2 linked regions of the Anolis sagrei genome follow. The protein of the gene in region 1 interacts with the protein of each later gene in a pairwise test. Links are inferred from orthologs where the notes say so. Each region holds a gene or a part of one and is shown in the gene's direction. Other genes may lie near its edges.

Evidence for each region.
Region 2: the proteins of TNPO2 (region 1) and CAMK2D interact in binary tests that used the Homo sapiens proteins (3 or more experiments, as listed by UniProt). The two-hybrid records come from large-scale screens. The link is inferred for Anolis sagrei from reciprocal best matches to the Homo sapiens genes TNPO2 and CAMK2D.

The regions. Positions count from the first base shown.
Region 1 is NC_090022.1:111,818,083-111,829,774, forward strand, and holds the start of TNPO2 (transportin-2), read left to right. Parts: upstream 1-5,547; 5' UTR 5,548-5,753; intron 5,754-9,545; 5' UTR 9,546-9,557; coding exon 9,558-9,656; intron 9,657-9,963; coding exon 9,964-10,039; intron 10,040-11,692. Other genes in the region: RING finger protein 11-like, read right to left, coding at 105-245. UniProt on the Homo sapiens protein: Probably functions in nuclear protein import as nuclear transport receptor. Serves as receptor for nuclear localization signals (NLS) in cargo substrates.
Region 2 is NC_090025.1:33,135,463-33,147,015, reverse strand, and holds the start of CAMK2D (calcium/calmodulin-dependent protein kinase type II subunit delta), read left to right. Parts: upstream 1-5,838; 5' UTR 5,839-6,898; coding exon 6,899-6,963; intron 6,964-9,423; coding exon 9,424-9,518; intron 9,519-11,553. UniProt on the Homo sapiens protein: Calcium/calmodulin-dependent protein kinase involved in the regulation of Ca(2+) homeostatis and excitation-contraction coupling (ECC) in heart by targeting ion channels, transporters and accessory proteins involved in Ca(2+) influx into the myocyte, Ca(2+) release from the sarcoplasmic reticulum (SR), SR Ca(2+) uptake and Na(+) and K(+) channel transport.

The DNA.
Region 1 (11,692 bases):
CAAGGGAAGGGAGGAAGGGAGGAAGGGGGACACTCTACCCCAGGGCCCCTCCCTCCCTCCCTCCTCCTTCCCTCCCGCACCCTCTTCCTGCTGCTGCTGCCTACCTGGTAGGGGGGCGGCGGGGCAGGGAAGGGCGGCGGGGCCATCGGCGGAGGGTCCCCGGGCCCCAGGCTGGCCCCGTCGCCCGTGGAGTCGTTGAGCAGCGACAGGTCATCCGCCGCCTGCGAGGAGAGGCAGCCCCCCATGCCCGCCCCAGCCCCAGCCCCAGCCCCCGCCCGGGGTCCGGGCCACCTTCCTCGGCCAGCGCCGGAATGGAGGAGGAGGAGGCGGCGGGGGAGGAGGAGGAGCAGCAGCAGCAGCAGGGGCGCCCGCGCGGCATGCCGGGAAGCGTAGTCCCGGCACCCAAGGACTCCGCGCTTGCGCACTGCGAGGAGACGCTTGGCCCAAGGTGGGGAGACGTTTAGAGAGGGAAGGCGCAGAGAGCGCCGTGTTCTTCGCCCTGAGCTCCAGGGTCACAGTCCAGTGCAGAAGGCACTCAGCCACGCCAGCTCCTTTGAAATCTATTTATTTATTTATTACTAGCTTATTTATGTATTCATTTACCTTATTTATATACCGCTGTTCTCAGCCCGAAGGCGACTCACAGCGGTTCACAACAAATACGAACAGCAAAAATTCAGTGCTACAGTATAAAAACAGTTAACAACCTAACATACACAATTAATAACAGTCACTACAATACCCATTCACTGTCGTCTCATCATCAAAAACATGTTCCAGATTCATCATCCATTGTTCCATTCCAGTGTTCATTAACCAATCATTGCACTAATTATTGGAACGCCTGCTCAAACAGCCAGGTCTTCACTTTTTGCGGAATACCATTAGAGATGGTGCTAGTCTAATGTCCGTAGGAAGGGCGTTCCACAGCCGAGGAGCCACCACCGAGAAGGCCCTATCTCTTGTCCCCGCCAGCCGTGCTTGAGAAGCAGGCGGGATCGAGAGCAGGGCCTCAAAGTCCTGGTGGGTTCATAGGCCGAGATGCGGTCGGATAGGTAGCTTGGGCCGGAACCGTTTAGGGCTTTAAAGGCCAACGGCAGCACTTTGAATTGAGCCCGGTAGCAGATCGGTAGCCAGTGGAGTTGGCGCAGCAGGGGGGTTGTATGCTCCCTGTGCTCCGCTCCTGTTAAAATCATGGCTGCCGAGCGTTGGACTAGTTGGAGCTTCCGAGCCGTCTTCAAAGGCAACCCCACGTAGAGAGCGTTGCAGTAGTCTAAATGGTCCGTCCTCGAAACCGCACCAGAATATTGAGTTGGCCATGGGGGTTCTCTGTGCCAAGTTTGGTCTTTATTGGTAATTGGAGGAGTGTTGCTATGGTCTCAGGAAGAGAGTGAAGGTACTGCAAGTCCCATCATCCATGGTCTATCCTCCTCCAAACTGCACCAGGATGTAGAGTGGGTCATGGGGGCTCCGTCTGTAATCCAAGTTTAGTTAGATCTAATGTTGACTGGGTTCAGTGGGTGCGGTTAAACTACTACTCCCATATGTAAGTCCCATCATCCATGGTCCATCATCCCACAGACGGTAGCAGGATGTAGAGTGCATCATGGGGACTATGTGTGCCATGTTTGGTCTTGATCTGTCACTGGTGTGGGTCACAGTGGTCTCTGGAAGTGAGTGAAGGTACTGTAAGTCTCATCATCCATGGTCCTGCCTCCTCCAAACCACACCAGGATGTGGATCATGAAAGGTTCTGTGTGCCAAGTTTAACCCAGTCATTTGTGGGCATCACAATAGTGTGTGGGAGGTATATTGGATGCATATACTGCAAATCCCATAATCCGTGGTTGGGATTCCCACCAAACTGCACCAGGACATTAAGTGGGCCACATTGGGTCTGTGTGCTAAGTTTAATCCAGGCTCATCATTCATGGGGGTTGTAGTGATCTCTGGAAGTAAGTGAAGGTACTGCAAATCCCATCATCCATGGCCCATCCTCTCCCAAACCACACCAGGATGTAAAGTGGGTCATGGGGGTTCTGTGTGCCAAGTTCAGTCCAGTTCCATCATTGGTGGGCATCACAGTGGTCTGTGGGAGCCAAAACAAATTGAAAGTACTGCAAATCCCATAATCCGTGGTCCATCCTCCCCCAAACCACACCAGGGGGTCATGGGGATTATGTATGCCAAGTTTGGTCCAGGTTAGTTATTTGTGGAGGTTGCAGCAGCCTGTGGAAGTGGCAGCCAATCAGAAAGCTGCCAAATACACCACCCACCACACACATACAAACACTGAATTTTATTATATACATATATTTATTATTTATTTCAAACATTTGTACCCCGTCCTTCTCAACCCCCAAGAGGGGACTCAGGGCGGCTTACAATTGGCAGCAATTAGATGCCAACATATACACCATAACAATATAACACAGATTCAATGTGTTAACATTAATTAAAACATTAAATTATAAAATACACATTTAAAACATTATTACAATAACAACTTGCGTTCAATTGAGAGACCCAGTCCAAAGCCTGTGCATTATCAATTCAAATACAACATTGCAAGTGCTGTTAAGCCAGCTGCCCAAACGCCTGGTCCCAAAACCATGTTTTGAGCTTTTCCCGAAGGAAAGGGGAGATGGAGTAAATCACATTTCCCTGGGGAGTGTGTTCTAATACATGGCATTTATCTATCATTTCTACAGGACCTGATGCACTGTACTGTTCATATTAATGTTACTAGAATACTAACTGGATGTCAGCTGTGACCAGCAGTGTTGCAGAATTCAAAGAAGCACGAATGGAGGGTGAAAGGGAGAAACGTGCCAAGTGGAAGGTGTGTCAAGCCAACCCTGACTGGGACCGCCTACCATCTGGAAATCGATGTCCTCACTGCAGGAGAACATGTGGATCAAGAATATGTTCCACAGCCACCTACGGACCCACTGCCAAGACACCACATCTGGAATACCATCTTCCTTAAGCTACGAGGGATTGCCTAACAACAACAACTAGAATAGTGAAAAAGGCAGCACCCTCAAACCCGTTCTCCACAGAAGGGAAGCAACATATTTGCAGTTGAAAGATAGCTTGTATTGCTTTAACACAGGCATAGGCAAACTTTGGCCCTCTGGGTGTTTTGGACTCCAACTCCCGCAATTCCTAACAGCCTACCGGCCAAAGTTTGCCATGCCTGCTTTAAAATCAAGGGAGAGTATCTTGGATTTCAACTCCCACAATTCCTAACAGCCTATGAGAATGATGCTGGGGAAAATGGAAGGAATAAGGAAGAGGGGCCGACCAAGGGCAAGATGGATGGTATCCTTGAAGTGACTAGCTTGACCTTAAAGGAGCTGGGGGTGGTGACGGCCGACAAGGAGCTCTGGTGTGGGCTGATCCATGAGGTCATGAAGAGTTGGAAGCGACTGAATGAATGAACAACGTATTCCCCAAATACATACTCCTACATGACTTCTCTACAGGATAAACTAGAAAAATAATAACAATAATACATTTTATTAATTATCTGCCTCTCCTGATGGCTCAAGGCAGGGTACAATAAATTGAAAAACAAATCAACATAAAATAAATTACATATATAAACACACACACATGAAAACTTATACCAAACACAGCTACAGAATTGCCATATAGTGGTAACAGAATGCAGATCAAAATTCATGGTTGAAAGTTAACTGGTTAGGAAGAGATGGGTCTTCAATTGCGTCAGGGGTCAGGAACCTTCGGCCCTCCAGGTGTGGTGGACTTCAACTCCCACAATTCCTTGAGGCTCGGTAAGCCTTTGGGGCAAATGCCGAGCCTCAAGGAATTGTGGGAGTTGAAGTCCACCACACCTGGAGGGCCGAAGGTTCCCCATGCCTGAATTGCGTGTTAAATTCCAACACTGTTTAGCTGTTTGAAGAGTTGGAAGAGACTACAAGGGCCACCCAGCCCAATCCCCTGCCATGCAGGAAAAATCACTAAAGAACTCCTGACAGATGTCCATTCAGAATCTTACGTATGCATGTATGCAGGCAGAACATTGCCTCTGACTGACCAAGGGGATCAAGTTCCCACAGCAAGATGGCCAGTTTTGCACAGGACACTTGAGGCATGATCCTTCAAACAAGGTAGCTTGAAGGGGGCAGATCTGTCCAGCTGTTTCCAAATCTTCTTCCGACTCTTTTGCTTCAGGAGCCAAGCAGGGCACAAATATCTGACATTGAAACCCATCTAACCTGTTCATATTGTATCACAACCATGTTTTTTCTAAAAAGAAGGAAAAGCTATACCTTTAAGGTCAAATTTTTGCTATTATCTTTATTTTTTGTAATCTTGTGGATTTGAGCTCCATTTGGACCTTACATCCACACTTTTGGGATGGGCCCCTGACCATTGCATTTGTTTCCCAGGACAGCTTTCCAAATTGTGTGTCAGGACACATTGTGTCAGCTGTTATTGTGCTATTTGTAAAAATGTAAATGAAAGGTTTTCATTAGGTATGTTGTGTCTCTATTCCTTCTTTGCTACAATTTATACGTGCATTCATCTCTCCTATAAAGGGTTGCCTGAACCTCTGCTTGGTTAGTACAACTGAATTACTGTGTCGCAAAATAATATATATCTAACAAATGAGAGCTGGACCAAAGGGAAGGCTGAGCGAAGGAAGACAGATGCTTTTGAACTGTGGTGCTGGAGCAAAGTTCTGAGAGTGCCTTGGACCGTGAGAAGATCCAACCAGTCCATACTTCAGGAAATAAAGCCCGACTGCTCATTGGAGGGAAGGATAGTAGAGGCCAAGATGAAGTATTTTGTCCACATAATGAGAAGACAGGAAAGCTTAGAGAAGACAATGATGCTGGGGAAAAAGGAAGGAAAAAGGAAGAGGAGCTGACCAAGGGCAAGGTGGATGGATGGCATCTTTGAAGTGACTGGCTTGACTCTGAAGGAGCTGGGGGAGGTGACGGCCGACAGGAAGCTCTGGCGTGGGCTGGTCCATGGGGTCATGAAGAGTCGGAAATGACTAAACGAATGAACATGTGTCACTAACGTGAAATGTGTTATCGAAGGCGTTAATGGCCGAAATCACTAAGTTGCTTTTAGTTTTCTGGGCTGTATGGCCACATTCCACATGCATTTTCTCCTGACGTTTCGCCCACATCTATGGCAGGCGTCCTCAAAGGTTGTGAGGTCACAACCTCTGAGGATGCCTGCCACAGATATGGGCGAAACGTCAGGAGAGAATGCTTCTGGAACATGTCCATACAGGCCGGAAAACTTACGGCAACCCAACATGAGATGCTTGGCAAGTTCTGCCCTGGGGAGCCAATCTGCATCTCTCCCCTTCTCTTTCCGCAGCAGGGCTCCACATGCGGAAGCAGCCCGCCCTGCTTCTGGGCCCCGTGGCCTGTCTTGAGGGCCAATGGCAGCGGGTGCGCCTCCCTGCGGTGACGTCACCCGCCAGCCTTGGCGCGCTGCTCACGCGGGCCAATGGGGTGGGGTAGGGGCGTGGCTACCGCCCTTTCCTTGGCGGCCACATGACGCACTCGGCCGGCGGTCGTGCCTCGACGTGCGCAAGCGGCTTGGCTCCTCCCGCTCCTCTTCCTTTTGCCGGTCACGTGAGCGGCAGGGACGGCGGCCGGCCCGGCTCATCGCCCGCGTGTCGCGTTCTCCTCCAGCTCGCCGCCCCCTTTCCGCCTCCGGAACCGACGCCGCCGCCTGGGCCTGGGCGCGCCGGGAGCGAGCGGGCAAGTACGGGGACGGGCAGGCCGAGGGGGAGGAGGAGGAGGCCCCTCAGCGGAGCCCCGCCGAGGGGGAGGAGGGGGAGGCCGGGAGTGAGGCGGGCGGGCGGGGCCTGAGGGCGGGGGTCGGGACAAAGAGGAAGAGGAGGAGGAGGAGGCCCCGCCGCCGGCGCCGCCGCACACAAAGGGGCCCGCGCGGCGTGGAGAGAGCGGAGCCGGCGCCACACGCGCGCCTTAGTCACGCACCAAGAGCCCCTGCTTTCCAAACAATAGGGAGGGGTCCGTTGTTTTTGTAAAAAAGAAGAAGCCCTCAGCCGCGACGGGATGCCGCCCCACACGAAGCGCCCGCTTCTCGGAGGCCTCCCGCCTTTGGAGGAGGGTGGGAGGGAAGGAAGGAGCCGAGCGCTGCCCTGGGCGACCGGCCAGGCCTCTTTTGTCCCGGGAGGCCCTTGATCGCGCGAGGCTGGTGTCACGTGCCCCCGGGGCCCCGTGGGGAAGCGGCGGAAGTGGCCAGGGGGGCGCCGGGGAGGGGACCTCGGGCTGAGCACGTGCGCTGCCCAGCCTCCGGCCCACGCGCTCATCCAGAGGGGCCTCAACTTTTCTTCCAGGAGTGACCCCCTTCCCGCCCATTTTTACCTGGCCTCAGGTATCTAGGACTACATCGCATGGGTCTAGAAATCAGGCGTTTACTGAAAACAAAGCAGCATTTGCAGTGCTGAGTTCCCTTTTGGTGGAGTACAGCTGAAGCATCTTCTGCAGAGTCCACTGTAAACACTGCGCCTTGTTGCTAAAAGATTTTTGGAAATGGTGGCGTTTAGAAACACTTTTCTGTTGCCAATTTTTCTTTTGAGCAAAGGGGGACCCCACAGGATCCACGGTTTAATAAACAGTGATTTACCAGACTAGAAATAGGAGCGCCCCCCCCCCCCCCATGGCCAACAGGACAGCTGACCGAAAGATCAGTGGTTTGAATCTGGGTAGCAGGGTAAGCTCCTGTCTGTCAGCTCCAACTTTCCATGTGGGGACATGAGAGAACCCCTCCACAGGATGATAAAACATCCATGCCCCACCCCTCAGGCAACAGCCTTGCAGATGGCCAATTCTCTTACACCAGAAGTGACTTGCAGTTTCTCATGTTGCTTCTGACACGAAAAAAGCCAGACTAGAATGGCCCTTTCTTGACATTAGCTGAGCATCCCATATCCAAGATATGCCCAAATCCCAAATTGTGCACGTGGGTGTGCATGTGGGTGACTGAGAAAAAGTCGCCTTTACTTTCAGATGGATCAGTGAAAATGTTTTGTGCACAAAATTATTGTGCATAGAATTACCTTCAGGCTATGTATATAGAATCAAAGTTGGAAGAGACCCCAAGAACCATCCATTCCAACCTTGTGCCATACAGGGACACCCAATCCAAGCACCCCAAACAGATGGCCATTCAGCCTCTGCTTATAAATGTCCACGAAGGAGGCTCCACCACACTAATGCTTTCTAATGTTTAGGTGGAATCTTTTCTCCTACAATTATTGTTGTTGGTTGTGTGCTTTCATTGTATCAGGAGTATGTATTGCTTCATTGTATCAGGAGTATGTATTGCTTCATTGTATCCAGAGTAGCAGAAAAGAAGCCTGCCCCCTCCTCAATGTGACATCTTTCCACATATTTAAACATGGCTATCAGGTTTCCTTCTCAGCCACTTTTCTCCAGACTAAGCATATCCAGTATAAGATGCATATCAGCCGAGTTTATCAGATGGTTTGGCGGGGGGGGGGGGGGGGGGTTGGACTGTAGTTTGAAAAAGACATGAGTGAATTCCTATTCACACTGCATGTATCTTATTTATAATGCCAAAAAATGAAAGAACAATAATTATTTTAAGTGAAGAACAATTTTAACCAACATGAACTTAACATTATTTTAATGGGAAGTGTGCCTGCTTTTGGTTGATGAGACAGTCAAGATGTTGTGTGCCTTCCAAGTTGTTTCACACTTAGGGTGACCGTAAGTCTAAAGTTTAGGGCTGGATCAATTTACTTGTGGGCCGCATTTGGCCCATGGGCCTTAGTTTGGGGACCACTGATGTATAAGAAACAAAACCTCACAACCTCTGAGGATGCTCGCCACAGATGCAGGCAAAACATCAGGAGAGAATGCTTCTAAAACAGTGGTTCTCAACCTGGGGTCCCCAAATGTTTTTGGCCTTCAACTCCCAGAAATCCTAACAGCTGGTAAACTGGCTGGGATTTCTGGGAGTTGTAGGCCAAAAACATCTGGGGACCCCAGGTTGGGAACCACTGTTCTAAAACATGGCTATACAGCCCGAAAAACCTACAGCAACCCAAATTTAGACTTGAGTCCCATTTCCAAGATACCCCCATTATGTAAATATTCTAAAATTAAAATAAAAGACAGAATACTCCTGGTCATTCCAGATAAAGAATACTTAACCTGTATTATTGCAACAGTTGGATTTTAACATTGAGATTGTGAATGATCCAAGGGGACTATATTTACAGTCTCTTGAAATTCAGAGAAGGAGCTACCAGTGGGGCCTCCACTTGCTTTTTCACTCTTCCTTGAGAGGATTTTTCCAAACTGAAGATCTTGCATTTCAGCTGGCAGTATGCTCCATTTTCTAGGGCTTACTAGCACACCAGTGAGCATATGGCTCCAGCCTACTATTAAGTCTTTGCATGGGGGCCCTTTAAGCTTTCGTTCTGATAATTAGACTCAGAATTAATTGGTAATTGAAGGTATTGAATTCAAAAGTAATACGCCTGTGGTACATTTATTGTAGGTAGTAGTTGCAATAGAAAATAAAAATTGACATAAAGGTTCTGATGACTTACTAAATTTAAAGTAGGCTAGTGACTTCTTTGAAGTAGCCGAATGCTTCCATAAAAGGGATATTCAATCTGCAATAAGATTTAGAAGGGATCACACAAATAAAGAATCTCAAAGGCCTGGTGAAAGGATATCTAGTTGTGTTGCTAATTGATATAACTGGCCGTATTTAAAACATGCCTATGTCAAAAAATGTCATAGATACAAAATATGCCATGCAGTATCTAGAGATTGGGAAATGCAACACATGCACAGCCCTGCAAGAAGATGTCTGGATTGCATGCGATACATGTTTAATAATTGCATTGTAGCAGACATACCTGCTCATACATAATTTTACTAGGTAGTTTCTGCAAACCTGATATAATCAGGAGCAATAATCACAACAACCTGATGGTATGACCAGCTGCTTAAATGTAGAGAGATGTAGGGTTACATATTCTTCTATTATCTATGGGAAAGACAAGACAACCTCTGCAAGTCCCTGATTAGCTTTTGACAAGTCAGTGCTGCAATGCTAAATGCTAATTTCTGTATTAATATATCTTTCTAGATCTTGATAGCAAAGTCCCCTGATATCTGTGGCATTTAAATCCCTTTTAATTTGTTGTATTCCTTTTCTTATCCAGGTTTATTTATTTATTTACCATATTTGTATACCGCCTTTCTCAGTCCGAAGGCGACTCAAGGCGGTTTACAGTCTGCAACAATTTAATGCCCCAATACCATAAAATACAATTAAAAACATTAGCATATAGGTTGAAGCAAGACAGTATTCTTTTTCCTGGGTTAATTGTTTTGATTGCATATAGGTGCAGTGTGTGAAGTTCTTTCTTGTTTGACATTGCCTGAAATACCTGAGTGGCATTCTGAAGGAAGTGGGTTTACTGTTGGCTGTGCATTTGATTCCAGTATTTCTTTTTAGATCACTCTTGTACCTTTTCCAGGTAGGCGGTTTCCATCATGGATTGGCAGCCTGATGAGCAGGGTCTCCAGCAAGTACTTCAGTTACTCAAAGACTCCCAGTCTCCAAATACAGCAACCCAGCGGATTGTACAAGACGTATCCTTGAAATTATTAAGGTTTCTATAGACATTTTTTCAGATGGTGTCAAACAAAACAAATTTCCATTTATAGGGAACTACAAATTACAGGGGAAAACAGCAATTGATAATACATTATTAGTGGGATAGGCAAATACTCCAGAGATTAGCTATGAAGTTATATTTTTGGGATGCAGCAAAAATCTATGCCTTCGTCTTTAAAACATTAGGGTCTCTTTTCTCTAAGGATTTGGTTTGAATTAAACTATTATGCAGATGTGGAATTTACCTGAATTTTAAGAATATTTTCTTAACTAGTATTTCAGAAACTGAAACAGCTCAACCAGTTTCCTGATTTCAATAACTATTTGATATTTGTCTTGACGCGGCTGAAATCTGAGGGTATGACTATTAAATATGTCACAACAAAATTTAACAAAAATGTCTGTGTGCATGTATATGTGCTGAGTTAGTATCAAGTTTTTATTATTCCCTAAATCTGTGGTCAAATTAAAGTTTTTCCCAAAAATGAATTTCTAAGAGCATTCTAGCCAGTTAGTGGCCTGAATAGTCCAGAAATGATCAGGCATGATTTAGTGTATTGAGAGGGGCTACTCAGCCCCTCAGGTCTGAGATGACAATTTGACCTGCTCTCAGCTGTGCTTTCTTGTGAAAAAGTGGATTGAATTCTGCAGCCTGCGGTGGTTAGAAAAATGCACTCAAAACTTGTAGTTGTTTTTGTTAGCTGTTTCTTGCGATTTTTGCCTTTATATTGGAGTTTAACCTAATTTGTTCAAGGAAGCAGTGCAAGGGTTAATCTGCAGAGCTTTTTGAAGGCAGGGAGGCAGTACTCTAATGAAAGGTCCTAGACAAGAGCAAGCTCATTGTACAAATGAAAATGAAGCGTTAAGGAATACTGAAGATAAAGGTGCCTTGTGACTATGATGACTAAAGATCTAGAGAATCTTTTTTTGTGTTTTAGTCATGTCCAAAGAACTGAAATAATTTGAATCCCTACACTTCTTTGTCTGTGCTGGGATTTGGTGAACAGTACTTCTTAATTCAAAATTGGCTAGTAAAATCAGGTCTTAATTGTAGATTTTTGTGACTGAGAATAAAGGATCTTTTAATTTACTTGCTAAAGGTTTTGTGTAATTGAAAAGTTTATATTGCATACATTTTCAAAATAATGTCACTTCATTTATTTAATGATTCCTGGTTCTTATATAGCAGTTCTGTCTTTTTTTCTTTTTCTTTTTAATTGATACAATATAAGAGAAATAGGGCAGGGATGGGGATTAGAGTAAGGAAGTTACATGGAATAGAATGGTATTCCCGTGGTGGATAGTAAAATGAAAAGTGATGAAAAAAGAAAATGGTAATGCTGAGAAAAATCAAAATCAAAAAATTGTGGCAGTTCTGTCTTGTGTTTATTTCTACAGAGTTTGCTCCAGTAAAAGGAGCCCAGGCAGAGATGGGCTTTCTGAATTTTTGGTTTCTTTGGGATAGGGGCTTCATTGCAGTTCTGTTTGTTGCTTGTTATGAGAATGCAAAAGCAATGTTTGTTATTATTGGTATAAGTTGCAACATAGGTAAACAACTGTCAAAGGCTAGAGATCTCTGTGGGACCTTGGAGGACTGCACCTTCACCTGAAAAAAATCTAATCCCCCTTTTGGGAATATAGAGGCATTCCCCAAATTTTCAAGGCCTTTATTATTCTTTATTATTGTGCTTATTTATATCTCACGTTTCTCTCCATGCGGAGACTTAAAGTGACTCACAGTAAAAAGCATTACAATACAACTTAAAATATACAAATATTAAAACAGTATTAAACATCATCAGTATTTTTAAAAATGGCCTTTCTGCCCACATTGAGCGTGGACAGGTCCCCTAGGAGTATCTACTCTGTTGTAGTTCATTTTGACAAGGATGGGATACCAGTTTGCATCCTAAATAGTGTGTTATGGAATCATGACCCTGAAGCCTTTCCAAAGTGTAGTTGAATGCAAGAGGGTCATCAAAAGAAATAATAACTTGCAATGAACTGAAGC
Region 2 (11,553 bases), on another chromosome or scaffold:
TAGTATCCTTATGGTATCTTTTTATTCAGACAGTTGGCTGACTTTCAAGAAATTGACTTTTAATGGATTGATTCTTTCTTAAAATTCGGGTTCCAATTGTATATGACAGGTTATTCATCACATTATTACAAAAGCTAGCTTTTATAGTGCTCTGTGATTTTCTATTTGAGATACTGTTTTATACAGATCTTTTGCTACTGTATTTTATTCACATAGTGTTACTTTTCTAGTGATAGTTTGTTACTGTATTTTTATTCCTACTGCAACACTGCCATAAGGGTTTTAAGGACAGGGAATAAATACTATATATATTACTAGGGTTTACATTCTATAATGGTATCTTATTCATGAAAATAATTGATAGTTTTAGGATTGTTGGACTACAACTCTGGAGACCAGGGTTCAAACTGGGTGACACTGGGCGATTCACAAACCCTTGATCTCAGAGGAAAGTAAAGGCAAACCCTCCATGAGCAATTCTTGCAAAGACCCCACCATGACAGATTTGCTCTTAGGGTTGTAATATGTCAGAAGTGGCATGAAAGCACATATCAACAATATATTTTCAGAAAATCATATATTTCACTTCCAGTTTTTCTTTAATATCAACCACATTACAAGGTAAACAATATCCAGGGGAAAATCTAGCTGCTTGTAAGCCAGCATACCCTCCTAAAAGCCACTAGTGAAGTCTTTCTTTCATAGCATGCTTTCTTCTCTTTGGTGTCGGTTTATGCCAATGATGAGCTAAGTAAAGTACCCAGATACAGTTACACAATGAAATTATACACATGCCTTTTTCCAATTAACCCACATTAATTGGAAGACATGGGCATTTATTGCTTCAGAAATTATATTCATTGGTTTAATTATATTCTATATACCTATCCCTGCTTTGCATTATAAATCAGTTTATATATACTTCAGTAAGAATATGAAAGAATGTCTCCCTTGAGTTAAAAACTAACACTGACATGCTGGTGATGTCTGGACTCATAATTTGAAAATTAAAATCATTTATCTTTACAATGAACCATGCAACCACAAGCTCATTGTGTTTTGAAATTGGAAAAATATCCTGAACTAAAAGAGGTGGGGTGGAATGTTATTATTTTGCAATTACTTGATTCTTTGTTTATGGAGACTGAGGCAGAAGATTAGATTACTGTTTCCGTTATAAATGGGAAGAAACTCAATGATGGCATGCAAACACACATACGAATTGGAAATAATAAGTCTGTTCAGTATTTAAATAACTCAAACTTCCTAATGCCGCAACGCCTTAATACAGTTCCTCATGTTGTGGTGACCTCCAATGATAAAATTATTTTCGTTGCTACTTCATAACTGTAATTTTGCTTCTGTTATGAATTTTAATGTAAATACCTGATATGCAGGATATATTTTCATTCATTGCACCAAATTTGGCACAAATACCCAATACACCCACATTTGAATATTGGTGGGGTTGTGGGGTGTGGTGGTTGATCTTGTCATTTGGGAGTTGTAGTTGCTGTGGTTTATAGTTAATCTACAATCAAAGAGCATTCTGAACTCCACCAATGGTGGAATTGAACCAAACTTGGCGCAAAGAACTCCCATGACCAACAGAAAATACTGGAAGGGTTTGGTCTCTGACCTTGAGTTTTGGAGTTGTAGTTCACCTACATCCAGAGAATACTGTGGACTCAAACAATGATAGATCTGGACCAAACTTGGCACAAATACTCAATATGCCCAAATGTGAACACTAGGCCTGGGTAACAACGCAAAAATTTGTTTCTAAAATTGATTCGTTTTTGGGGGGGTTTTGCGTTTTGTTATTTAAAAGAATTACAAAATTTTCCTTTAAAAGGGTTCGGTATTTACGAAATTTCGTTATTATTAACGAATCGATTCGTTAAGATGGCAGACCCCCCCCCCCGCGCGCATGCGCAAATCACTTTTTTTTCTTTTTTTAGAATATTTTTTGATTTTTTTTAAGAATAAAAGAAATATTTATCAGAAATATTTAAAAATGGAAAATTAACAAAATGCTTGCCCTGTTGTGGAGCAAACACAGCCGCAGGACAGGGACAAACACACACACAGGCACACAAGTTTTTTTTCTTTTTTTAGAATATTTTTTGATTTTTTTTAAGAATAAAAGAAATATTTATCAGAAATATTTAAAAATGGAAAATTAACAAAATGCTTGCCCTGCCCTGTTGTGGGGCGAAAACAAGGCAAAGCCTCCCCGCTGCTCCCAGCCCAGGTCCTTAAACCGCCCTCGCTCTCCCAACAATGAATGTGAATGAATGAATGAATGCAAGCAATGAATGAATGCAAGCAAGCCATGCCTCCCTCCCGCACCTCCCGTCTCCTCGCCTTCGCAATGAGTAATGCGGCCATGCGGAGCCGCTTTTAAAGGGCAGCCCGCCCAATCACAATGAGCCACGGTGCTTGGGAGCGCCGGATTGGCTCCCGGCGCACCCAGCATCCTCCATCCCTAAAACGTCATTTCCGAAACGGGCGGAAGCTCGTAAAAAAGATGGAGGATAGCCGTTTCGATATTTAAAAACACTTCCGGGTTTGAAAATAAGTTTTGTAATCATTTTGTAATTGTTAAAAATAATGAATATTTAACAAATTACAAAATTAACGAACAAAACCGCCCAGGCCTAGTGAACACTTGTTGAGTTTAGGGAAAATAAAACTTGACATTTTGGAGTTGTAATTTCTGGGGTTTATAGTTCACCTACAAAGAGCATTCTGAACTTCACCAATGATAGAATTAGGCCAAACATTCCTCACAAAACCCTCATGCCTTGAAGGGACTCACTGGTGCAAGCCTCCCTCCAACCTCACATACTTTCCCTCTCCCGCACATGTGCACCACGCTGCCATGCACCGAACACGCCTGCTCCCCCCTCCTTGTGTGGAGTCTCAGAAACAGCTCTCCCCTTGGCTGAGAGGCCAGCCAATCACAGCAGGGGGGGCTTATGGTAGGAGGATTTGCCATCTGTTTCCAAAAAGGAAGAAAAGGATAGGTGGAAAGATCTTCGGCCTTCTCTGCCAAAGGTGTTCCTAAGACTATCAGAAAGATACCCCATTCCCCCCCCCCCTTTTTTTCTTCTTCTCCCTCTCCCTTGCCCTACCTCTCACATGTGTTGTAACTCTTTTGTATTTTGTATACGTATTTAAAATCAATAAAAATTTAATAATAAAAAAAGAAAGATATATGTTTTCCGATAGTCTTTGGTGACCCTTCTGAAATCCCCTCATGACCTCCCCCCCCCCCCCGGGGTCCCGACCCCTAGGTTGAGAAATGCTGGTCTAGCTTGACATGTACCACTATGAAACAACATCATACATGAATTCTGACAAGAATTTAATGTTACAGATTTTTGAGTAGTTGTTTTTCGGCCATGGTTAACTTCTCAGTTTATAATTATAGTTGTCAACAGTTATATCTTTGAATTTTGATCTGTATTTTAAATGTCTTCATTTGAAATGCTTTGATGCAATGAAAACTTAAAATACATATAATCAGGATTGAAAAGGGACACTGAGAAATAAGAGGGTGGCATCAAAATGTTCAGGAAAATCATGAGGTTTACAGATACGCATGCCTAAGAGTGCAATACCTAATCACTCCAAAACCCCATTGCATTCAGTGAGGATTGTTAAAAGTGTGCACAGAAATGCAACCTCTCAATGCAATCCTTAACATGACAACTATCTTTGAGCCAGATAATGGAGTGACTTCCAGGGTGGGTATGAGAGCCATATTTAAATATTTGAAAGGATGCTATATTGAGGAAGGGGCAAGCTTGTTTCCTGCTGCTCTGAGACTATTATTATTATTATTATTATTATTATTAACTTTATTTGTACCCCGCTAGCATCTCCCGAAGGACTCGATGCAGCTTACAAACGCCAAGGCCTCAAACTCAACATAACAATACAAACCTAAAGCAAATTAAAAACAATTAAAGCAATATTAAACAGCAAAACAACAAGCAATAAACAATACACCAAAACACAATAAAACCTGGCCGGGCCAGAGTAAAGGGTACAGAATTAAAAGTGCTGATGTGACAGGTGATATGTAAGGATTATTGGGTAAGTGCAATGTGCAGAGTGCGGCAATCTTAGTTCTAATAAAGTGCTTCTGGGACTTGGTATTGGAGATTTCCTATTCTGGGAAGGCACATCGGAACAGTCAGGTCTTCAAGTTCTTTCTGAAGACTGCCAATGTAGGGCCTGTCTAAGATCTTTGGTGAGGGTGTTCCAGAGTCGGGGGCCACCACGGAAAAGGCCCTGCCTCATGTCCGCACCAAACGCACTTGCGACGCAGGCAGGATCACGAGGAGGGCCTTTCCAGATGAATGGAGAGAACGCGTGGGTTCGTAGACGGAGATTTGGTCACGCAGGTAGGGTGGTCCCAAACCGTTCAGGGCTTTGTAGGTAAGCACCTGCACCTTAAATTGGGCTCGGAAGATAAACAGCAGCCAATGGAGCTCCTTGAACAGGAGGGTTGACCTCTCTCTGTAAGGAGCGCCAGTTAACATCCTGGTTGCTGCTCGTTGGACCAGTTGAAATTTCCGAGCCGTTTTCAAGGCCAGCCCCACGTACAGCGCATTACAGTAATCCAATCTAGAGGTGACCAAGGCATGGACCACCCCGGCCAGATCAGCCTTCGCAAGGTACGGTCGCAGTTGGCGCACGGGTCTTAATTGTGTGAAAGCCCTCCCAGACACCGCCGACGCCTGAGCCTCAAGTGTAAGCGATGAATCCAAGAGGACTCCCAAACTGTGGACCTGTGGTTTCAGGGGAAGTGTAATCCCGTCCAACACAGGTTGCCACCCTATACCCCGGTCAGGTTTACGATTGACCAGGAGGACCTCTGTCTTGTCTGGATTGATCTTCAGCTTGTTCCTCCTCATCCAGATAGACACAGCGGCCAGGCACTTGTCCAGGACCCGGGAGGCCTCCTTGGAATTGGGTGGAAATGAGTAGTAGAGTTGTGTGTCATCTGCATAGAGGTGGCACCTAACTCCAGACTAGGACATGGAGAAGTGGATTTTAATTGCAGGAAAAGATATTCTGCCTGAACATTTAGATCAGGGGTCCACAAACTTTTTAAACAGAGGGCCAAGTCACAGTCCCTCAAACTGTTGGAGGGCCGGATTATAATTTGGAAAAACATGAATGAATTCCTATGCACACTGCACATACCTTATTTGTAGTGCAAAAACCACTTAAAAGCAATACAATAATTAAAATGAAGAACAATGTTAACAAATATAAATTTATTACTATTTCAGTGGGAAGTGTGGGCCTGCTTTTGGCTGATGAGATAGGATTGTTTTTATTGTTGTGTGCTTTCAAGTCGTTTCAGACTTAGGTTGACCCTGAGCAAGGGCCGGGTAAATGACCTTGGAGGGCCATATCCGGCCCCCGGGCTTTAGTTTGAGGACCCCTGATTTAGATCAATTTGACTTGTTAATATTTAAACATTAGGAAGAATTTCTTGACAGCGAGAGCTGTTCAGCAGTGGAAGATGCTGCCTTGGAATCTGTGCCTTTTTTCCCCCCTTTGGCAACTGCATTCTTCCCTCTTCACAAGCTCTCTTACAAGCAGCATCCCAACGACGCCTTCTCCTTAAACCAGGTTGGCAACAGTCTCGCGAGAGTTTGGAAGTGGCGCTTTAATTTCCTCCCCCCCCCCCCCTCCCCGCTGCTGCGTTTCCACCCAGAGAGTGGCTGAGCGGGCGCGCGTGTCGGGTTGTGACGCCACCCAAAGCAAAGGGGAGGGAAAAGGAGGGAATCACCCCGGGGGTGGGGCTCCTTCCTCCTCCCCTCAAAAAAGGAAAGGGAGGGGAGATGATGAGGTATCCCGAAAAGCCTCTTTCCTCTTCAGAGGAGCATTTCCGAAAGCCAGGAATGTGTAGACTTATTGGTCCACACAAGAGCAACCAAAATAGAAAAGAGCCGTGAAATCAAGGGAGAGCCCTTCCCTTGGTGGGTGCCTGTGAGACGGCCACCCCCTTCCCAAACACCCGTTTAGGGAGGCCAAAGGATTTTGGAGGGCTGGCGAGGACGTGGAGCTCTCAAGGACTGCGCTCCGTGTGTGTCAACAGAGGCTTAGAGGAAAGGGAGGGAAGGAAGGAAGGAAGGAGGAAGGGAGGGAGGGGAAAGAGCGGGAGAGGTCAGGCGGGCAGCGCGCCGCTTTCCTGCCCAGCGCTCCGGCGAGAGGAAGAGCCCGGCTGTCGCTAGAGGGAGGTGTGGGACCGAGAGAGGAGGAGGAGGAGGAGAAGCTGGAGCCTGAGGAAGGGAGGGAGGAAAGAGGAAGACAGCGAGGAAGGAAGGAAGGGGCTGCTGGTCGCCAGCCTGGCTTGACCTGAAGCGCAGAGTGGCTTTGCGTGGCCAGGCTGGGCGTCGGGAAGGGAACTGCGCCCAGGAGGGCATCCCAGGTCGCCTCCAAAGGGACACTTGTCGCCCTCGCTTCCTCGGCTCCAGTCCGCCGCCTCTCTCTCTCTCCCTCTCTCTCTCGGGACGGATAATTATTAAGCCCGTCACGGTTGCCGTCGGAGTTGCTGCTGCTGCTGCTGCCGAGACTCGCCTCCTTCCCAGCCCAACCCCGAAAAGAAGGGGAGAGGGAGGAAGTGTGGGCCCTCCCTTCTCTCCCGCCCTCCTTCCGCCCCGGGGACGCCCAAAAGGAGCTGCCCAAGAGGGGGCGGGCAGAAGGGCTCGCCCGGACGACGACGCCGAGGACGAGGCAGCCCAGGCGGCGAGGCAAAGGCAAGGGAAGCGGCCGCGCCTTCGCCTTCCTCTTCCCGCCGCCGCCGCTCCTGCTGCTGCCCAGGCCCCCTTCGCTCCGCCGCTTCCTCCCGCCGAAGCCCCCCGCGCCCGCCATGGCCTCCACCGCCACCTGCACCCGCTTCACCGACGAGTACCAGCTCTTCGAGGAGCTCGGGAAGTGAGTGGCCCCGCGGGGAGAGGGAGGGAAGGAAGGAAGGAAGGAAGGAAGGAAGGAAGGAAGGAAGGAAGGAAGGGGGAATGCAAGGAGGGAGGGAAGAGGGAAGGAAGGAAGGGATGCTGGAAAGGAAGAGAAGGAAAGAGGGAATGTAGGAGGAGAGGAAGGAAGGAAAGGGAAAAAGGAAGGAACGCAGGAAGGGGGGAAGAGGGAAGGAAGGGATGCTGGAAAGGAAGAGAAAGAAAGAGGAAATATAGGAGGAAGGAAGGAAAGGGAAGAAGGAAGGGATGATGGAAAGAGGGAAGGAAGGAAAGGAGGGAAGAGGGAAGGAAGGGATGCTGGAAAGGGAGAGAAGGAAAGAGGGAATGTAGGAGGAGAGGAGGGAAGGGAAGGGAAGAAGGAAGGGGTGATGGAAAGAGGGAGGGAAGGAAGGAACGCAGGAAGGAAGGGGGAAGGAAGGCATGCTGGAAAGGAAGAGAAGGAAAGAGGAAATGTAGGAGAGGAAGGAAGGACATGGAAGAAGGAAGGGATGATGGAAAGAGGGAGGGAAGGAAGGAACGCAGGAAGGGAGAGAAGAGGGAAGGAGGGGATGCTGGAAAGGGAGAGAAGAAAAGAAGGAATATAGTAGGAGAGGAAGGAAGGAAAGAAGGAAGGGGTGATGGAAAAGGAGAGAAGGAAAGAGGGAAGAAGGAATGTAGGAAGAGAGGAAGGAAAGGGAAGAAGAGGTGAGGGAAAGGGAGGGAAGGGAAAAGGGAATATAGAGGGAGAGGAAGGAAGGAAAGGGAAGAAGGAAGGGATGATGGAAAGAGGCAAGGGGGAAATGGGTCCGTTTTGAGGGCTGGGAGGCCAGGCGCGCATGGGCTGGATGTGGGCCTTCATCCCCTTCCAAGGGAGGGGTGTGTTTGAAGTCCGCTCCGTGCCTCGGCCCGCCCTTGGCCCAGGGTCATTGGCAGCATCTCCTCACGGGAGAAGGGAGCCCACCCCTGGGCAGCTCCAGCCCAGTCCCCGCGGAAGAAGGGCGGCAGAAAGAGGGGGAGGCGGAAGGCCGAGGTGCCGGTGGGGAGGGAGGGAAGGAAGGAAGGAGGCGCAGCTGCCCCCATTCCGCGGACGAAGCCGGCTTTCCGCTTCAGACGCTCGAGGTGCCACGTTTACCGAGGCAGAAAGTTCAGCGCTCTCAGGTCGAGCGACTCCTCCATGCCGAGCTTCCCTTCCACTTCCTCCCTTCACAGAATTCTGACAAGAATCAATCAGGGCTAGCTAGCACCTCCCAACAAAGGATTCCCCAGGCAGCAACCAGCCAGTCTTTGAAGCTGCCAAACCATTGAATGCTAATTAAAGTGGCCAGTTGCTACATTCACACCTGCCTCAAGAAGAGGAAAGTTCTTTCTCCCACCCTGGGCATTGCACAGATATATAAACCTCACTTGCCTAGTTTCCAACAGACCCCTCAACCTCTGAGGATGCCTGTCATAGATGTGGGTGAAACATCAGGAGAGAATGCTTCTGGAATATGGCCATACAGCTCGGAAAACTCAGAGCAATCCACAAAATCCTTCATCAGATGAGTTTTGGGATTTTCTCCCCTTCTCACCTGTCTTGGGTGGGAATGGAAGAAACTGGGGCGTCCACAGGAGCGAAGGGAATGGGCCTCTGGTTCACATGCATGGCTCAAGTAGGAATGCCCATTTAAGTTTTCAAAATAATAATAAAAAATAGCGACAGAAATCAGTGTATGGCATAAGACATCATCACCTCCACTGCCTGTTGTGATGGGAAAGGAGCGCTTGGGATTCAGTACACTGACCTTGCTTTCCCTTGTGTTTTCATATATATGATCCCCAAAGTGTAAAGTCAATTCTGGAAATAGAAAAGACCTCAAAATGTTTGCCTGATGCCACCAAGGTAGCAAATGTGTTATACACAGCCCTCCGAATTCCAGGCTTCTTTCTCAGCCAGGGCATTGTAAATGAATGCTCTGGCTCCCAACCGTTTCTATTGAGATTTATTGCATCCTACCCACTCCAGCGAGACTAGAGTGTTTACGCTTAAATAAACACAGAATGCCATGTTTACAGGATGAGAGGAGGGCCTTTTATTTACTCAGTGCCATTTTTAAAGGGGGGAAAAGGCCATTCCATCACAGGAATGTATATATATCTAATGGCTTTGGCAGAAAAAGCTGAGAAAGATGTATACCACACCTGTTATAAACCATAGCCGATTCTTGATGCCACTTGTAATGAGATGTATATATATTCACTCAGTTTAATAATAGGGCTCGTGCTTACATCTCAGACATAATCTACTGTTGCAGTCCATATCAATTAAGGTTAATGTTGTGTTCATTTCCCTGCCTTCTGTATCAACACTGCTCAAATTGACATCTTCACCGATTATTGGTCCCTTTCTGAAGGAGCAAAGTCCCAGCTGACACTGATATTTCTCTGATTTATTGATTTGCAGGGGGGCTTTTTCTGTGGTGAGAAGATGCATGAAAATCACAACGGGACAAGAGTATGCTGCCAAAATTATCAACACTAAAAAGCTGTCAGCAAGGGGTGGGTATTTACAGAGCATTATGTATTTATATTTAGCATGGATTGTTGTGTTGACTAAATGGAGGGAAAATGGGGACATCTCTCATCCTTTCCTCGGGTCCCATCCACACAGCTAAATAAAATCTCACATTATTTGCTTTGAGCTGGAATGTATGGCAGTGTGGACTCAAATAACCCAGTTCAAAGCAGATATTGTGCGATTTTCTGCATTGATATTCTGAGTTATATGGCTGTGTGGAAGGGCCCTCTGTGTATTTCTGTCTTTGGAAGAGTACATTTACCTCCCGCCCCCCATATTTCCATTCTGCTGCCTAGATTGCCTCCAGTGCTAGTTACATGAGCTGTTTAGAGTTGTCATCTTGATGTTAGATCTGTTATTACATTTTGAGGAAATACCTTTTTTTCCTCTTATCGGAGTTCTTACAGAAGAAAAGGAGGTCAAATCTTAATTGAATCACGCTCTCCTATTTTATTTACACATGATCTTAATTCATTGTGGCATATTTAACAGAGGGACCCTTGAGAGAGAGAAAATGATCTGCTTCACTCACATTTGGGGCTGAAAATCTGTTTCATTTCATCACATGATCTGTGAGCCGAGCCTGTATTTTAAATGAAGTGGGTTTGTTTTAAAGGAATGTATAGCATATCATTTTTCCTCTTTATGATTTCCAGATTTGCCCACTTACATTACAGTGTATATATAAGACCTATTTTTCAATATACAATGCTATAAGCAAGCTCTGCTGGAATTGATGGATGTTGTACAACATTCGGCTTCCCATTCTTTTCAGGGAGGCTTGTGCAGGAGAATTTCCCAATGGATTATGTCCCATAAACTATATGTTTGGGTAGTTCGACTAATGAAAGTAGTCCTTATGGTGGTATATTTGCTCTTGGTAAATCCACCCTGATGTGCTTGTATAGGGATGTTGAGGATTACGGATTATTCTCTGTTAACATCTGTACTTTCATGTTAATTTCTGGCCTTTTTGTGAGCACGGAAATGAATGGAACTGTTCGTTCAGTCTGAAGACCTTTCATTGGTGCCCTAATTTTTCTCTTAACAGATTGGCAAAAACCATAAGACAAGGATGTGCTTAGTTGAGATCATATTTTTATAGGCAAAGTTTATGAGTGTGTTGTTTTTGCATGCACTGTGAACTAGATAGTGGAGCTCTCACAGTTTAAAAGTCTAGTGTTCTTAGGCTGCCTTCTAAAGCCTGGGATTGACAGTTTGATCTAACTCAAGTTTACTCGTGAGAAATTAAATGGGAAATGCAGCCTAATACGGTACAACATCAGGAGTAAGTTGCTTAGGCTCCTTCTATACAGCTGAATTCTCACATTATCTGCTTTGAACTGGAATATATGGCAGTGTGGACTCAGGACCCTTCCATACAGTCTTATATCCCAGGATATCAAGGCAGAAAATCCCACATTATCTGAGTGGATTGAGATAATCCAGTTCAAAGCAGATATTGTGGGATTTTCTGCCTTGATATTCTGGGTTATAGGGCTGTGTGGAAGTGCCTTCAGATAATCTAGTCCAAAGCAGATATTGTGAGATTTTCTGCCTTGATATTCTGGGTTATATGGAAAGACCCTGAGAGATAGAAGGAGATCCACTAGGTCGATTAGGAGGCATTTCCAAGCAATTGTGATTTGTGTGTATCTTTATAGCTCTGTGTGTTTCTGTTTTGGCTGTTGTGCACAGCGAAGGATGCTGTTGCTTTTTAACTTCTCACATAGATTTAAGGGTTTTGTTTTAATTAATCCACATGGAAATGTTTGAACATTTATGGTAGGGCTTGCTAGATCCAACTATTTTCATGGTAGCAATATGCATATATTAGTTAGATATGAGGAGCCCCTGGTGGCACAATGGGTTAAACTCTTATGCTGTCAGCAGTTTGAATCTGAGGAGAGCAGGTTGAGCTCCCTCTGTCCGCTCCAGCTATTCATTGAGAGACATGGGAGAAGCCTCCCACGAGGATGGTAAAACATCAAACATCTGGCCATCCCCTGGGCAATG